2 linked regions of the Drosophila melanogaster genome follow. The gene in region 1 interacts genetically with each later gene. Each region holds a gene or a part of one and is shown in the gene's direction. Other genes may lie near its edges.

The links. Genes that interact genetically often act in the same process or in processes that back each other up.
Region 2: of nero (region 1) and eEF5, changing one enhances a phenotype caused by changing the other (phenotypic enhancement), as found in Drosophila melanogaster (one study listed by BioGRID).

The regions. Positions count from the first base shown.
Region 1 is NT_033777.3:31,744,725-31,751,737, reverse strand, and holds nero (nero), read left to right. Parts: upstream 1-4,179; 5' UTR 4,180-4,262; coding exon 4,263-5,171; 3' UTR 5,172-5,293; downstream 5,294-7,013. Other genes in the region: CG1910 (uncharacterized protein), read right to left, coding at 1,026-1,093, 1,152-2,157, 2,217-2,531, 3,652-3,732; awd (abnormal wing discs), read left to right, coding at 5,795-5,968, 6,148-6,480; CG1896 (uncharacterized protein), read right to left, coding at 6,617-6,737, 6,800-7,013. UniProt on the Drosophila melanogaster protein: Catalyzes the hydroxylation of the N(6)-(4-aminobutyl)-L-lysine intermediate to form hypusine, an essential post-translational modification only found in mature eIF-5A factor.
Region 2 is NT_033778.4:24,053,818-24,061,295, forward strand, and holds eEF5 (eukaryotic translation elongation factor 5), read left to right. Parts: upstream 1-3,980; 5' UTR 3,981-4,085; exon of another isoform or gene 4,086-4,089; intron 4,090-4,666; 5' UTR 4,667-4,668; coding exon 4,669-4,874; intron 4,875-5,114; coding exon 5,115-5,316; intron 5,317-5,378; coding exon 5,379-5,450; 3' UTR 5,451-5,465; exon of another isoform or gene 5,466-5,521; 3' UTR 5,522-5,666; downstream 5,667-7,478. Other genes in the region: ppk29 (pickpocket 29), read right to left, coding at 1-160, 230-326, 382-518, 590-935, 995-1,056; CG13563 (uncharacterized protein), read left to right, coding at 1,654-1,702, 1,756-1,817, 1,873-2,072, 2,136-3,666; RpL12 (ribosomal protein L12), read left to right, coding at 6,721-6,757, 6,859-6,932, 6,996-7,176, 7,333-7,478. UniProt on the Drosophila melanogaster protein: Translation factor that promotes translation elongation and termination, particularly upon ribosome stalling at specific amino acid sequence contexts.

The DNA.
Region 1 (7,013 bases):
TACAATACCGAATCCATTTTCATAATGGCCAAACAAGTTTAATTTCTCTTGTATATATTTAAGATTTATTTACAAAAGAATATTGAAATGAAGAATGCCTTATACAGAAGATATGCTACATACAAAAACGGTCTGACTGATCATTTCAGTTGCAACGGCTTCCAAAACTAATATACGCTTTTGCTGTGTGTATTATATTATTTATCATTAGTATTACTATTAGAATTTGTGTTTCTCTTCTTTTCATTGAAAAAGTTTCCTCGTACTCTAGCCTGTATTTACGAATTAAGTTAGGAGAGATCGCCCGGAAGAGACCTTTGCCTAACACAACAGTTTCCAATGAGCTCATTTGGATCTTTAAAAACTTAAATGCTTCAAACGAAACGGGCTTGAAATACTTAAAAAAATGTCCAAAAAGGGTGAAAGTTATGCATAGACGTATCTTAAAGCCGCAGACCATTTGTATTGTGTTACAATAGTTTAAATATGTCCGCGATCCGTTTGCTTATTTTTTGAGTGTTGTCCAATTGGTTTTATAATTAAGGATATTAATGGCTTACAATTTAAAAACATCTATTTTACATACATTTTCCGTTAATGTATAATTTGTTTGATTCCAATTTGATTAATTATCCACATACATATTATATTAAGATGCATTTTACAATCTGTCTGTGCATTTCGGGGGGAGTGGGTGGGAGGGTCTTAGGGTACTTTTTTTTTTTGTTTTTCTGTCCAGCTGACGCACACACCGCAGCATTGAAAGTCCAGCATCGATTGCAGCCTATGGCGTCCTTCGCGTCAACCAAATACTGGAGGACGCGAACTATTATCAAAGTTAAGGGATTTCGGAGTACGAAATCAAGTTATCAATTAAAAAAGAATATTGTAGCTTTGTTTGGGGGAACTCTTAAATGTTTGCATGTAGTTGGCAACATCAGACCAACTCGGCGGGCGAGATGAAGACGCTTTTTTACACATCTGCAACGCATTAAAGTTGTTGATTGTCCATCGGTGGGATTGGTTTAGTTACACACTTTGGGCGCAGCATTCTCGCCCACCTCGGCGGAACTGTTGACGATCTTGGGCTCACCTTGGAAAGAGACTTGGTATTAATTGAGTCCATGATTAACAAGGTATTTCCAGCTTACCATTTACATTAATTTCGGCCTTCTTGACCTCGCAGATTTCCTGTGGTTCCTTTGCAGGACTGTCGGCAGTCTTAACCAAGGTTGTATCGATTTCCAAGGGCTTGCTGACATCATTGGATGCGGGGGCGGTAGAAACATCAATAGGAACGGGCGTGGCGCTCTCATCCGTATTGCTCTCTGCCTCCTTGGGTTCCGCAGAGTCCACAACCTTGCTAGGCTCCTCTTCGCTGCTGGCGGCTTCCTTCGGCTCAGTCACCACCACGGTGCTGGTTTCCGTAAGCTCTTCCGCGGACTCTACAGTGCTTTCGGCTTCCTTGGGCTCGGCAGCGGGCACTTCTAAAACTGTTTCTTTGCCCTCTGTGGCCACTTCCACCACATCATTGCTAGACTCCGTAGTCTTTGCTGCTGCTTCTGTTTCTGGAGCGGCAGAAACGTTTTCGATGGCTGGTGTGTCTACTTGAGCGGTGTCCGAACTGCCCTTCGAACTTCCGTCCACTTCCATAGGTTCTGGTGTGGGCTCCTTGGCTGGCTCATTTTGCTCCTTGGACTCCAAAACTGCTGCTGCATGTTCCTCTGACTTCTGTTCTGGTTCTTTTTCGTCATCTAATGCCTTTTCTTTATTTGCGGATGGTGTGTTTTCGACGAGCGTCTCATCTTCGTCCACATCCATAACAGAAGCAGGTTCTTTAGGTGCAGCGGCAGTCTCTGTAGCGGCTCCATTCTCCGACGTTTCTCCGCTCGACTTGAGGGGCTCTTCAGCTTTTGGCACCTCTTCGCTTGAATTCCCAGGTTCTTCTGATATTGGTTTGACTTCATCGACATGATTCTGCTTCGCTTCCGCCACTGAAGGAAGATTCTCCACACCATCCGGTTGGTCCTGGACCCCGGCGGGACTGGCGTCTTCCTCTTTTGCCTCAGCTACATCTTCCTTTGCCTCCTCCGGCGCATATTTCTCAGTTGCCTTCTCCTGCTTCTTGACCTCTTTCTTGTCCTTCTTGACAGCTCCCTTAAAATAAGCTTGTTTATTTAGTTTTCAATGATAATAAGACCAGATAATTCGCTTACCTTTCCCTTGACCGAGGTCTGTACCTTCTCCTTCTCCTTCTCCAGCTCAGGCTCGGGCTCATCAGCGCCTACGTCTAGCTTACGTGCTCCGCGTCCCTTTCCTGCACTGGCCTTTGTGGCCGAGGCCGGCGAAGTGCGCGCCTTTTTGCTGGGTGGCGGCGTCACTGCCTCGGCGGCTCGCGTCGGCGTTCCTCGAGTGCTAGACCGCGTCCGCCGCCCGCCCGCCAGCTCCAGGCTTCCGCCCATTGTTCGCACAAGCTCCTCGCTTTCCTTCTGCGCCCGCTCAATGAACGAGCGGCGTTTGGGAGTGCGTTTCTGTAATAGAGGAGAGATCGGGTTCGGTAAGTTATATTTCAGTATACATAAGCAGTAGTGCTACTTTTGTAAGTTTGATTTCCCGCCAAAACGCAATTGTCTTTGAGGGAATGAAGATGCTATTTTACGCCTTTTTTTTATTTTTTTAATATACCTGATATTCCATATTTTTCTGATTCACTAATGTTTCGTCATATGAAACATTGTAGTTAAAAGTGCATTCCCTATAACACCAAAACATGTGCAAGATGGGCTGAAACCACGGCGCTTTATTAGTGACTCAAAAATACAATTATATAGAAGAAACAGAATCATGTATTTATATTTAAACTCTTATCGGCAATAATTAAGCGTTTAAATCCAAGTGCGCACTGTACTATTGTTGACATGGCCAAGTGACCGCAGCAATTGCACCCGCATCGACCCGCTTGCAGCTGAATTCACACAACAGACCCCAAATGAACCCCCACATTAATAGCTGTCGATCGGAGGAGTTGAGTTAGACATCGATGTGTACGTACGTATATCTATTAGTAAAGTCGCCGCTAAAAAATGGAACCGAATCTAGAGCGCAACGTATCGCATACATACACATGCACAACACCGCGGAGCGGATGCAAGTGTTCGTGCCGCCTTGTATGACAAAGTACAGCAAACAACAAAAAGTCGAAAAGGGAACAAGCAAAAATAAAAACAAACGAGACGCGGCGGCAGCGGCAAAACGTGAGCCTGAAAGGGAATCGCCGATTGCCCTGCTTCTCTCGTCATCTCCTCTTCTCTTCTTCTTCGGCGAGTAGCTACACACGTATACACACACGCACACATGCTGCTGGCTTCCTCAGCAGGCGGGGGAAGGGGGAGTTGGAAAGTGGACAGGAAAAAGCAAAAAGCGCGCGCACACGAGGGTAGCCGTTGAAAAAAGAAACGTAAATAGAAACGGACACAGCGCACAAAGGGAAATGGTGAAAATGCACCACATCCGAGTGCCCATATACACACACAGTTATTTTGGAAAAATACCGCAGATAATTCGGGCAAAGCAAAGCGGAGCCCGTGTTGGTGTGCGTTATCGCCGTGCTATGTTAATTGTCGCTAAATATGTGTATGTGCGGCTACTTACGGGAGTCTGCTTCTCGTCCCCCGTCGACGCATTCACATCTTCCACCGCCTCCGGCTTTTGGGCCACAGTTGCCTCCGACATTGTTTAAAATAAACGCTGGGCGGTTATCCCTATATCTTTCCAAAACTTCAAAACGGTGGCGAGGTTTACTCCACTTCCACTCTCGCAGGCGCACACAATTACAGGTAACTCAACTCGACACACACGCCACGCTTCGCATACCGTGAACGCGCAACTTTCAGAAATGCCGATTTTGCGGAAACTTTTCACCGTGAAGAGCCGCTCTTTTGGTCACCGATGCTGCGCCAGGACTGAGTCAGTATTTTTGAATACTTTCTGTGTCTAGAACGTTCGCTTTTCACCCTTTTATTGACTTTTTTGTATCGCGCTTCTACGGAGTAAACGTAACTAAACTGCTTCTTGCTAGTGCTGCACAATTTGTACTCTAAACGCGTTGGCAGCGCCGTTTCATCGACTCATAGTCCATCGATAGCCACGTCATATCGATTACTTGTAGTTTTGGTATTACCAAGTACTGAGTGTATGGCCACATTGCGACACCACACGCGGCCCGTTGCAGTTTTTTATTTATAAGTCCACACCGCATACAAATGGTTTCGCAGCAGCAAATCGAGGCCATTGGAGGCGTTCTGAACAACAAGGAACGCCCACTGAAAGAGCGCTTTCGAGCCCTCTTCACGCTGAAGAACATCGGCGGAGGAGCGGCCATCGAGGCGATCAGCAAAGCCTTTGACGATGATTCGGCCCTTCTCAAACATGAGCTGGCCTACTGCTTGGGTCAGATGCAGGACGCACAGGCGTTAGACATCCTCACCAAGGTGCTAAAGGACACCACCCAGGAGCCGATGGTGCGCCACGAGGCTGCGGAGGCCATGGGCGCCATTGGTCATCCAGATGTGCTGCCAATTCTGGAGGAGTACAAACAAGATCCGGTAGTGGAGGTGGCCGAAACATGTGCCATTGCTCTGGACCGCGTCCGCTGGCTGCAGAGTGGCCAAAAGGTAGATGACAGCAACCCTTACGCCTCCGTTGATCCCTCACCGCCAACTGCGGGCGACAAGAGCGTCACCGAGCTGAAGGCCATCTATCTGGATGCCCAGCAGAGCCTGTTCGATCGATATAGGGCCATGTTCAGCCTGCGCAATCTGCGCACCGAAGAGAGTGTCTTGGCCATTGCCGAGGGACTTAAGGACTCTTCCGCCCTCTTCCGCCACGAGGTGGCCTTCGTACTGGGCCAGCTGCAAGAACCCTGCAGCATTCCCTTCCTTCAAGAGAATCTGGAGGATCGCCTGGAAAACGAAATGGTGCGTCACGAGTGTGCCGAGGCCCTTGGCGCCATCGCCACAGAGGACTGCATTCAGATCTTGAACCGCTACGCCGAGGACGACAAGCGCGTGGTCAAGGAGAGCTGCGTCATCGCCCTGGACATGTGCGAGTACGAGAACAGTCCGGAGTTCCAATATGCCGACGGCCTAGCCAAACTAGACGCGACCAAGTGATTTTCGCCGAACATTTGCATCTACCAGCTGTGTATATATTAGTCGTAAACTTGTATTGTTTTGTCACTTCTGTGATCACATGGACCTAATCTTATCGAGACATAAAAAGAAATTTGAACGTGACTTCCCTGTGGTTTTTGATTAACCTGCTGGATGGATGAATCAACTGGTGGGAATGCTGATGCTAATGAGTGCCTAGTAACTATCCTAGTTTGACGGGCATTTTATCATCAACTGTGGGCAACTCTTTGTTTTTTTTTAAATGTTTTAATGTGTCTAGTAATTAAAAATAATACTATTGAGTTTTCGTTATTTTTGCTTTAAATTATTCGATGAAATGCATTCAGAATACATTCTGAAATTCAAAGTACAAGGCGACATGGCAGCCCCATTTGAGCGGTTATAAACTGAAAAAAATATGAATACTTTAGCAATGCACTCAAATTTCCGCTTTGGAATTTAAATAACAAGTATTTTCCTATCCTTTAAATCGCCCAACAAAAACAAAAACTCAAGAACGCGGCTGGCTGCCCAGTGTGACCACTTGACGATTTCCCACAATTCACCTTGCCGGCATTTCGTATTCGGGATTTTTTTGCAACGGCGAACACATGAAGCTCCTGATGCTCGGCACAATTTTGGCATTCTTTTCTGTAATCTCGGCGACAATGGCGGCTAACAAGGAGAGGACTTTCATCATGGTCAAGCCCGATGGCGTCCAGCGCGGGCTCGTCGGCAAGATCATCGAGCGCTTCGAGCAGAAGGGCTTCAAGCTGGTCGCCCTGAAGTTCACCTGGGTAAGCGGATAATTGAATTAGGAAGAAATCAATAGATATAAATACGTGGAAACGGGTTGCCCCACGCGGGGTTGCCATCGGACCTAACCTCAAAGGCTGGGTGCAGGCGTCATCGCGGAATGACATGTGTTTAGAGGTCAGAACTGCAATTAACTGATAACGAACCGTTTTGTAACCAGGCCTCCAAGGAGCTGCTGGAGAAGCACTACGCTGATCTGTCCGCCCGCCCCTTCTTCCCCGGACTCGTGAACTACATGAACTCCGGCCCCGTGGTGCCCATGGTGTGGGAGGGTCTGAATGTGGTCAAGACCGGTCGCCAGATGCTCGGCGCCACCAACCCCGCCGACTCGCTGCCCGGCACCATCCGCGGTGACTTCTGCATTCAGGTCGGACGCAACATCATCCACGGCTCCGATGCCGTCGAGTCTGCCGAGAAGGAGATCGCCCTGTGGTTCAACGAAAAGGAGCTGGTCACCTGGACCCCGGCCGCCAAGGACTGGATCTACGAATAGACGGCTACTTTAACTGTCTGCCCTCGTCTAAGCTGAATACAGATTGATTCTTCTAAAGAAATAAAATTCCACAATAATTACTATATAATCTTGCTTCTTTATAAGGAGTGTGAGCTTTGGAAAGGTTTCTATGATATTAAGTTAAGGATAGTCGATAGCCTATCCACTGAGCTGTAGGCTTTGTTGGCGGTAGCACCCATCCTCTGGGTATAGAGGAGCCTCTTCCACAGTAGCTTATGTAAGAATCCCATGTGGAGCTGGAAAAAGCGATGCAATTAAAAGGGAGCTCCCGCCGGACAATGCATTTCCCTAGACATACCGAATTTCAAGAAATTTCCCCTTATTTAATTTGGGAGTTGGCAAGGATCGGCCGAAGAACACAGCCTTCCATTGAGATTCAAGTGAAGCCACCTTCTTGGACTCCTTGACATGGCCAGCTTGAGTCTCTTCTTGGACTCTGCGCCAAACAAGACGCATGTGGGTCAGTTTTTGGCAAAGGGCGGCTCTGTCTCCTCCACGAGACTCGCAAAGTT
Region 2 (7,478 bases), on another chromosome or scaffold:
CGCTGGGGAACTTGCACTTGCGCTGGGAAATGGGCTCGTCGATGACACCTTCGTGGTTGTGAATCTCCTCGACGTTGAAGGCGTATGTTGTGGGGTCGGTGGAGATGGTATAGGTCAAGGAATTGAAGAAGGGCAGATCCTCGGGACTGTTGACGTACATCTTAGATGATGAGCACAAGTGTTATTTTGTTAGCTATGTGTTAGCCCAGCGAAACGTATCCCATCTCACCTCATATTTATACATAACAGAACTTCGCATGTAGAGTCGCAGACTTCGGTTGTTATCCAACGAAGAATACCTGAGAGGCATTTCTTCGATGCTGTCACTGGAGTAGGCATTTATTTTATTCGCGATTTGAACTACTAAATATTAACACTAACTAGTCCAATAGATTGTTCGCCAGAAAGCAGTAGCCCATTTCCGTCACATGAAACTTGAATATCTCCTCGCAGTCTGTCACCAATTCGCCACGAAAGTATATTTCTTTAAAGCATTCAGTACAATTGGTTGGAAACATCTAGAAGTGCAAATGGTAATTTAGTTCAAATATAATCCAAAGTCCCCCCCCCCCCCATGCGACACCGACACCTTTCTTCTTATATCCAAAATATTGAAATTGTACGGGTAACTTGTATTCTTGGTAGGCTCCTTCGTAAATATGTTGTTGGGGTTGAGAAAAGCATATTCGTATATCATTCTTGTAAAGGAGAAGGCAAAGTCTTCCTGAAAATACTCCCGCATCATTGCCTTGAATTCGTTAAACGCTCGGCTTTTTGTTAAGCAGATTCCTATCGATGGGAAGGTGTTTATCCAGCGACTGTAGGCGGTCGAGACCCCTATTGTCGTGGAGTCCGTTTCGTATCTGGTTTTCAATAGAACCAATATGGAAACGGTGCTCCATCCAGAAATGCCAATCACAAAAATCCAAAGCAGCCTGCAAAGAGTGATGGTTTTGCGAACCGTAGACAATATCCTCGAATCGCTGACTCTTACCCTTTATTTTCCACAAAAGACCTTATAAATCCTCGAAAATTCATTACTGACTTCCGCCACATTTCGTATTCATGAAATCCTTTCCACAATTTCTTCGTGACTAATTCGAAAATATATGATGTCCATCCTTTATTTAAATACGGAGGGATGCACGCAAGTTCTGATGCAAATCGAGCGTGTCGTTTAGATTAATGGAGAGATAAGAAGAAAACATACTCGTAGCTTTGAAATGCAACTGCATACTGCACGCAATGTTCAGATGCACTAATGGGTATCAAAGATGCGAGGGAATCGGTTCGTTGGGCTGCGAAAGTGTGCATACCTTTTGAAAGTGTATCCAACTATATAGATGCAACAATTATAACTGAAGATGGGCTTGTCCAAGCGTTGCGTTTTATGCTCCATAGCACACACGCCACCATTTGGATGCAGCATCTGGGCACTGACTTGGCAACAATCATTCACTCGGGAACCTAGGCGGATAAAATATAATAAGAAAATTAAATGCACATTTACCACAAGTGTGAGTGATCTGGCAAATGCATATATCCCTGAAAAGTCGATCATCTCTTTGATTCCCAGCCAAGTAGCAAGTAATGTGGATGAAAAACCAATGCTGCTAGTCTTGAACTGTCTGCAGCCAAAATCAATCGCTCAAGATGCTGGGGAAAGTGAAAGGCAGCATTATTGTCATTTACATGACCACTGGTATGGAGGTTAAAATCAATAAATTCGAATTAAGCTCACCCGCTTCGCTTCAGGACTGCTGTACATACTGCTGAGCATAAAGTCATCCGCCAGCTACATGAGGCCAAAACGCCAGGTAAGCATTCGACGCCAGGAAAAGCGAAAGTATGAACGCCCGCATCGACTTTCAGATGTGGCCCGTGGATCATCCAGGGATCGTCCTCTATAGACAGCACCCGAACGCCATGCGAAAGTTCTACTGGTACAACGCTAGGACCCCGATCCTGGTGGGCAAAATGCGTCTAAAAAACTACATGCGCAACATGCACATGCTGCCCCGATACGTGCCCTCACCTGTCCAGTTCCACGAGGCCTATGCGAACTCGAAGAGGTCTATATCAGCGCACATATCATCCATTTGTGCATACGTATAATCATAGTGGATTTCTTTCAGGAGCATCTTCAGGGACTTGAGCCAAGTGAATGGGTTCAAGAGCACACTCCTGCCCATTGCTACTTCCACCGTTGACTTCGTTGCGGCCCCGCTCAACACGATTGAGTACAGTTCCCCTCCGGTAAACGCACCTATTGGTTTCAGTTCAGCCCCAGTCAACGCCTTCGTGCCCCTCACGACGGGAACCCTTCCGAGCGCAGAACGCCTCATTGGCGCTCCGAGTCTGTGGAACCACTCCGAAACCCACGCCTCCAACGACGGCTGGAACAAGTGCCGCGAAAACTGCCTCCAGATTCCGTTCCAGGAGTATGCCAAGGACCAATACAGCTCGCAGAGCAAGACCAGTGACCTGCCGGTGACCACGACAACCACTTTGCCCTACTTCAACTACGTTGCGCACACCTACTTCACCCTTGACGACGTGATTCTCCCCCATTCCGCATCGAAACTCGGCAAATCTCCAGCACAAGACCAGCAATTTCGGCCCAGTCACCAAATTCTCACAACGGAAAGGCCCCAGGAGCTTTTCACCGAGCGGTTTCAGCACACCACGCCGCCTCCAACTACAACAACCACGACCACTGAATTCACTTTTCCGGGGAAAACCACTGCTTTGGAAATGGAGTACAGATATAGCACCCGACCAAGCTGGTTTAGCCCCACTACCTCCAGCACCACAACAACCGAAGCTGCGGCTTCTGAGGATCCCCCGAAATGGACAACTCCGCAACCCGCTCAGAACGTCTATTCCACGGCGAATGTTACGACAGGATCCTATAAGCACAGACTAAAATCCCTGAAAGCGACCAAAAACTTCTCTTCAAGCATTGAAACTAAACTGAAACTTTTGAAGCTTCATCTTAAAAACCTGGTTACAACTAGGGAAACGCCGAAGAACGTTCAGAATCTAACGACTACAGCTGTTCTTGACAACCACACCACTTTGGAAACGACTACAACAACAACTACGCCCACACCGCCAAGAAGAAGAACAAACGTCAATAGAAAACTGAGAAAACTGCGAGTTTTGGCATCGACCAAAAAGGTTCCGGTGCAGATTTCGAGAAATTCTACAGATTCCAGCAAAGCCATGGGAGAATTCAAAAAGAGTTTACCGAAAAGAATTTACCAACGGCGCAAGCACTTGAACTCCACTGCAATGCCAGAAGCCGCGAAAAACACAACAGCTGATACCGATATCGAAACGATAAAAAAGCTTAAGCGCCGAACAACAGCAACACCCCGGAAATCGACGAAGGTCGATGATAATGTTATCGTTCGAAACGCTACGCAGGCGATAAGTCACACTTTGGCAAAATCTCGCGCCGATGGTATATCAGAAGAAAAACACGCTTTGGTCACAGAATCGGCAATTATGACTATTTCCAGTGGTACTTTAAAAATGAGGCAGCCCCATATTAAGGCAAGGTCAAAGCCGCAAAGGTCCAGAAAAATGTCGCACCTGGAAAACGATAATTTCATACCGTCGTTGCCCATTGAGGTTTATTTTAAAAAAGTAAATCAGCAGTAAATTGCTATAGTCTTCGAGTCATGCGTATACATTGTGTAAATGAACAGAGCAAACTAAAGTCTTAACCATTATTTATACTTACAGAGACATTTTAAGCACCAAATACATAATAAAACAAAAAATTAAGTGTTTACTTGCAACATACATACATACATACACATATAGCTTATAAATAGTTGTTTTCAAATTTAAGACTGAGTTGGCAGGCCATTGTAAGTTTGGCGAAAATACGGCATCGGCCTTATCGTTCCATTCCCACAGTTCCTAAACTGGCACAGCGACCGGTGCTGACAATCCGTGTGCTAAGATGCAGCACTGTGCGTTTCTTATTATTGACCGGAAACAAAACGTGGGTTTGATTCGATAGCAGGGTTCTTTCATTTTACATCTTCGGTTGGAACAGTCACTGGACTTTGCAAGTAGGTTAGTAATTTCGCATTTTTGTGTATAAAAAAATTGCAAATTCGCCGGAGAAGCGGCGGACGACCTAAATGGCACTTACAGCCGGAGGAGACGGTCAAAAACGGCTTGGAAGCCAGAATTAACCTCCGGTCATCTCGGCACATTCAGTAATATGCGAAAGAAAGTGCTTACACTCACACAAGCACACATACACACATACAAGTGCAAAAATGCAGTACACAACTTTCAAGTGCCGTGTGTCTCGATGACTTTGCCAAATTAAATGTTTGAACACTAAAGTGCCAAGTGCCTGGGTATGCAATTTGGCATATGACATTTCGGATACATACATTTGCCGACACATATATACATACGTATGTATGCATTTTTTCGGCTTGCACACACACGTATTTACATACATATGTGCGAATCCGTCTGTGTCTGTATGTACCCATAGAACGCCGAGGTATATAATGTGCTTTCAACACCAGCTAGTGTCTTTGTGCCTAAGTGTAAATGCATTCAAATCCCAATTAATCGGCAGTTAATTAAATAGATAAATAATTAATTCAATCACATCTTGTGTCTTGTGCGGCAGATATGGCTGAGTTGGACGATCAATTCGAGACCACGGATTCCGGCGCATCGACGACCTATCCCATGCAATGTTCGGCATTGCGCAAAAACGGATTCGTCATGCTGAAGTCGCGGCCATGCAAGATTGTCGAGATGTCTACTTCAAAGACTGGAAAGCACGGACACGCCAAGGTTCATATGGTTGGCATTGATATTTTCTCTAACAAGAAGTGAGTATATTCGCATATTTCTTCCTATCTGGTGGCAGCAGCATTTGCGGAGAACACAAAGGAAGCGACGCGCTGCTCTTGAATGTAATCAACGAAAAGTGTGCGCAAGCAATCTTATCTTGGACCAAAGTTATCAATAAATTTATGGAGGAAAATTAGAGTTCAACGCGGCGACGCCACCTCAAGCCAAATCCAGATCCTCTTACTTAACGCCTGCTTTGTCTATCGTCGTCTTTGCAGATATGAAGATATTTGCCCATCTACTCATAACATGGATGTGCCCAATGTCAAAAGGGAGGACCTTCAGTTGATTGCTATTAGTGACGATAGCTTCCTTACATTGATGACCGAGAGCGGAGATCTGCGTGAAGACTTGAAGGTTCCAGAGGGCGAATTGGGTGAACAATTGCGTTTAGATTTTGATAGTGGCAAGGACTTACTGGTGAGTTTGCCTCGACACCATATTATTATTTCGCAGAGAATAATTTAATTATACTTTTTCAGTGCACCGTTCTCAAGGCGTGCGGAGAGGAGTGCGTTATCGCAATTAAAACCAATACTGCTCTGGACAAATAGGCAAAATGTGTCGCTGTAAATTTCTGTTGCATTTACATCTGAAACAAATTTATTCAAAGATGCTGTTATAGGCTAGTTGGCTCTACATCTTAAATCTGGTTCTAACGATTGTAATTAATATAACAGAAACTCGAAGCATCATGTTTGAATAACTAAGTAACAAGATACACGTTTGCCAATAAAATTTTTTACCTAAACGTCATCCGTAAAACTATGATTCTCCTGTTTTTCATTGGGTTTAAGCTCTTTATTTCAGCAAACTTTATTCTAATTCGCACAGCTAAATGGGAAAAGTAAACAAAATGTTGGTCTGGACGCACGAATGAATGGCGTCACTTAGCATTGTGATGGTAAACGGCGGGAACCAGATGGGGTGACGCTACCGGTTTTGAATGGGTACAAGATGAACTTGTATTATTGACAACGCTACTGAGCTTTGCTACACCCCATTTAAAAGTGTAGTGTATCCTGAAAAAGATAAGGTACTCGGATATAGAGAATGGAGGAGGCATATTGTTTGAGGCAGGTCGGAATTTCGTATAGTACCAATTTATGTATGTACATGTACATATGTACGGTTTAAATGCCGTTGTTAAATAACATTTCAACATTGATGTACCGACTTTCGGAAAGGTCAAGTAAAAGTACAAAAACAATAAAAACAATTTTCATAAGTTGTAAGATTAGAAGAATAATCGATAATTTTTTAAGCCAAATGCCAATCAATCGATATACCAATTGTCTTGTAAATCGGTTTAGTAAGTTGATAGAGAAAATTCAAATAAGTATTTCTTCAGCTAGCAGATATAAATTACTTGCATAATCATAAATAAATATTAGATTGAACTAACAAAATTGAACTAACTGAACTAACAAGAAGATAAAAATATTTACAACGACCGCTATGAAATGTAGTTAAAAAAATGTAAATCTGAATTTTAATTAAACTTAAAATATATCAACTAGTATTTAACATTTTCAACAAAAAAAAAAGATTTCTTAAAGCCTAATTTCAAATTAAGAATAAATAAAAATATAAACTCATTACACTCGTTTCAATTCCGCGTTCCATTCGAGACACTTTTTATTCCGATAGCACTGGGCGATACATCACTTGCAAACGGTCCTCCCGGAAATCGATAGCTTCTTCTTTCTTTTTCTGTGTGTCTTTTTTGCGGTAAAGTACATGAGCTGAAAATGTCTCAAATAAAATCGGCGAAAACTAACGTAATCTTTGCCTTACAGCGACTGTTCAAGCCAAGATACCGCTATGCCTCCCAAATTCGACCCAACGGAAGTTAAATTGGGTAAGTAAGCGAGTGTTTTTGTGAGGAGTTGAGCTTCGAGCAAACCGTAGTTTATAATAGAGGATTATCTTCAATAACGAATTTCTGCACCCAAATTACAGTGTACCTGCGTTGCGTGGGCGGAGAAGTCGGTGCCACATCCTCCCTGGCCCCAAAGATCGGTCCCCTCGGTCTGGTAAGCATGCAAATCGGTTTGTTTACTTGTGCAATTCGCGCTAACAAAAGTGTCTCTCTGTAGTCGCCCAAGAAAATCGGTGATGACATCGCCAAGGCCACCTCCGACTGGAAGGGTCTGAAGATCACCGTCTGCCTGACCATCCAGAACCGACAGGCCGCCATCTCCGTGGTTCCCTCCGCCGCCTCGCTGATCATCAAGGCTCTGAAGGAACCCCCACGTGACCGCAAGAAGCAGAAGAACAGTGAGTATTGCCCGGCAATCCTGGACTGGACTTCCAATGCCTGTGCCGGGCTGTGGTGGATAATGAGGAGCTTTGCTTCCACCGCACTGTGCCCACATGCACTGGATGGTTCTGTGCTTGATCCCCCGATTAACAGCAGATATTCTTAATTTACAGTCAAGCACAGTGGAAACATTGGCTTCGAAGACATTCTGGCCATCGCCCGCGTGATGAGGCCCAGGTCCATGGCCCGTGAGTTGAAGGGAACCTGCAAGGAAGTTCTGGGAACCGCCCAGAGCGTCGGCTGCACCGTTGACGGAAAG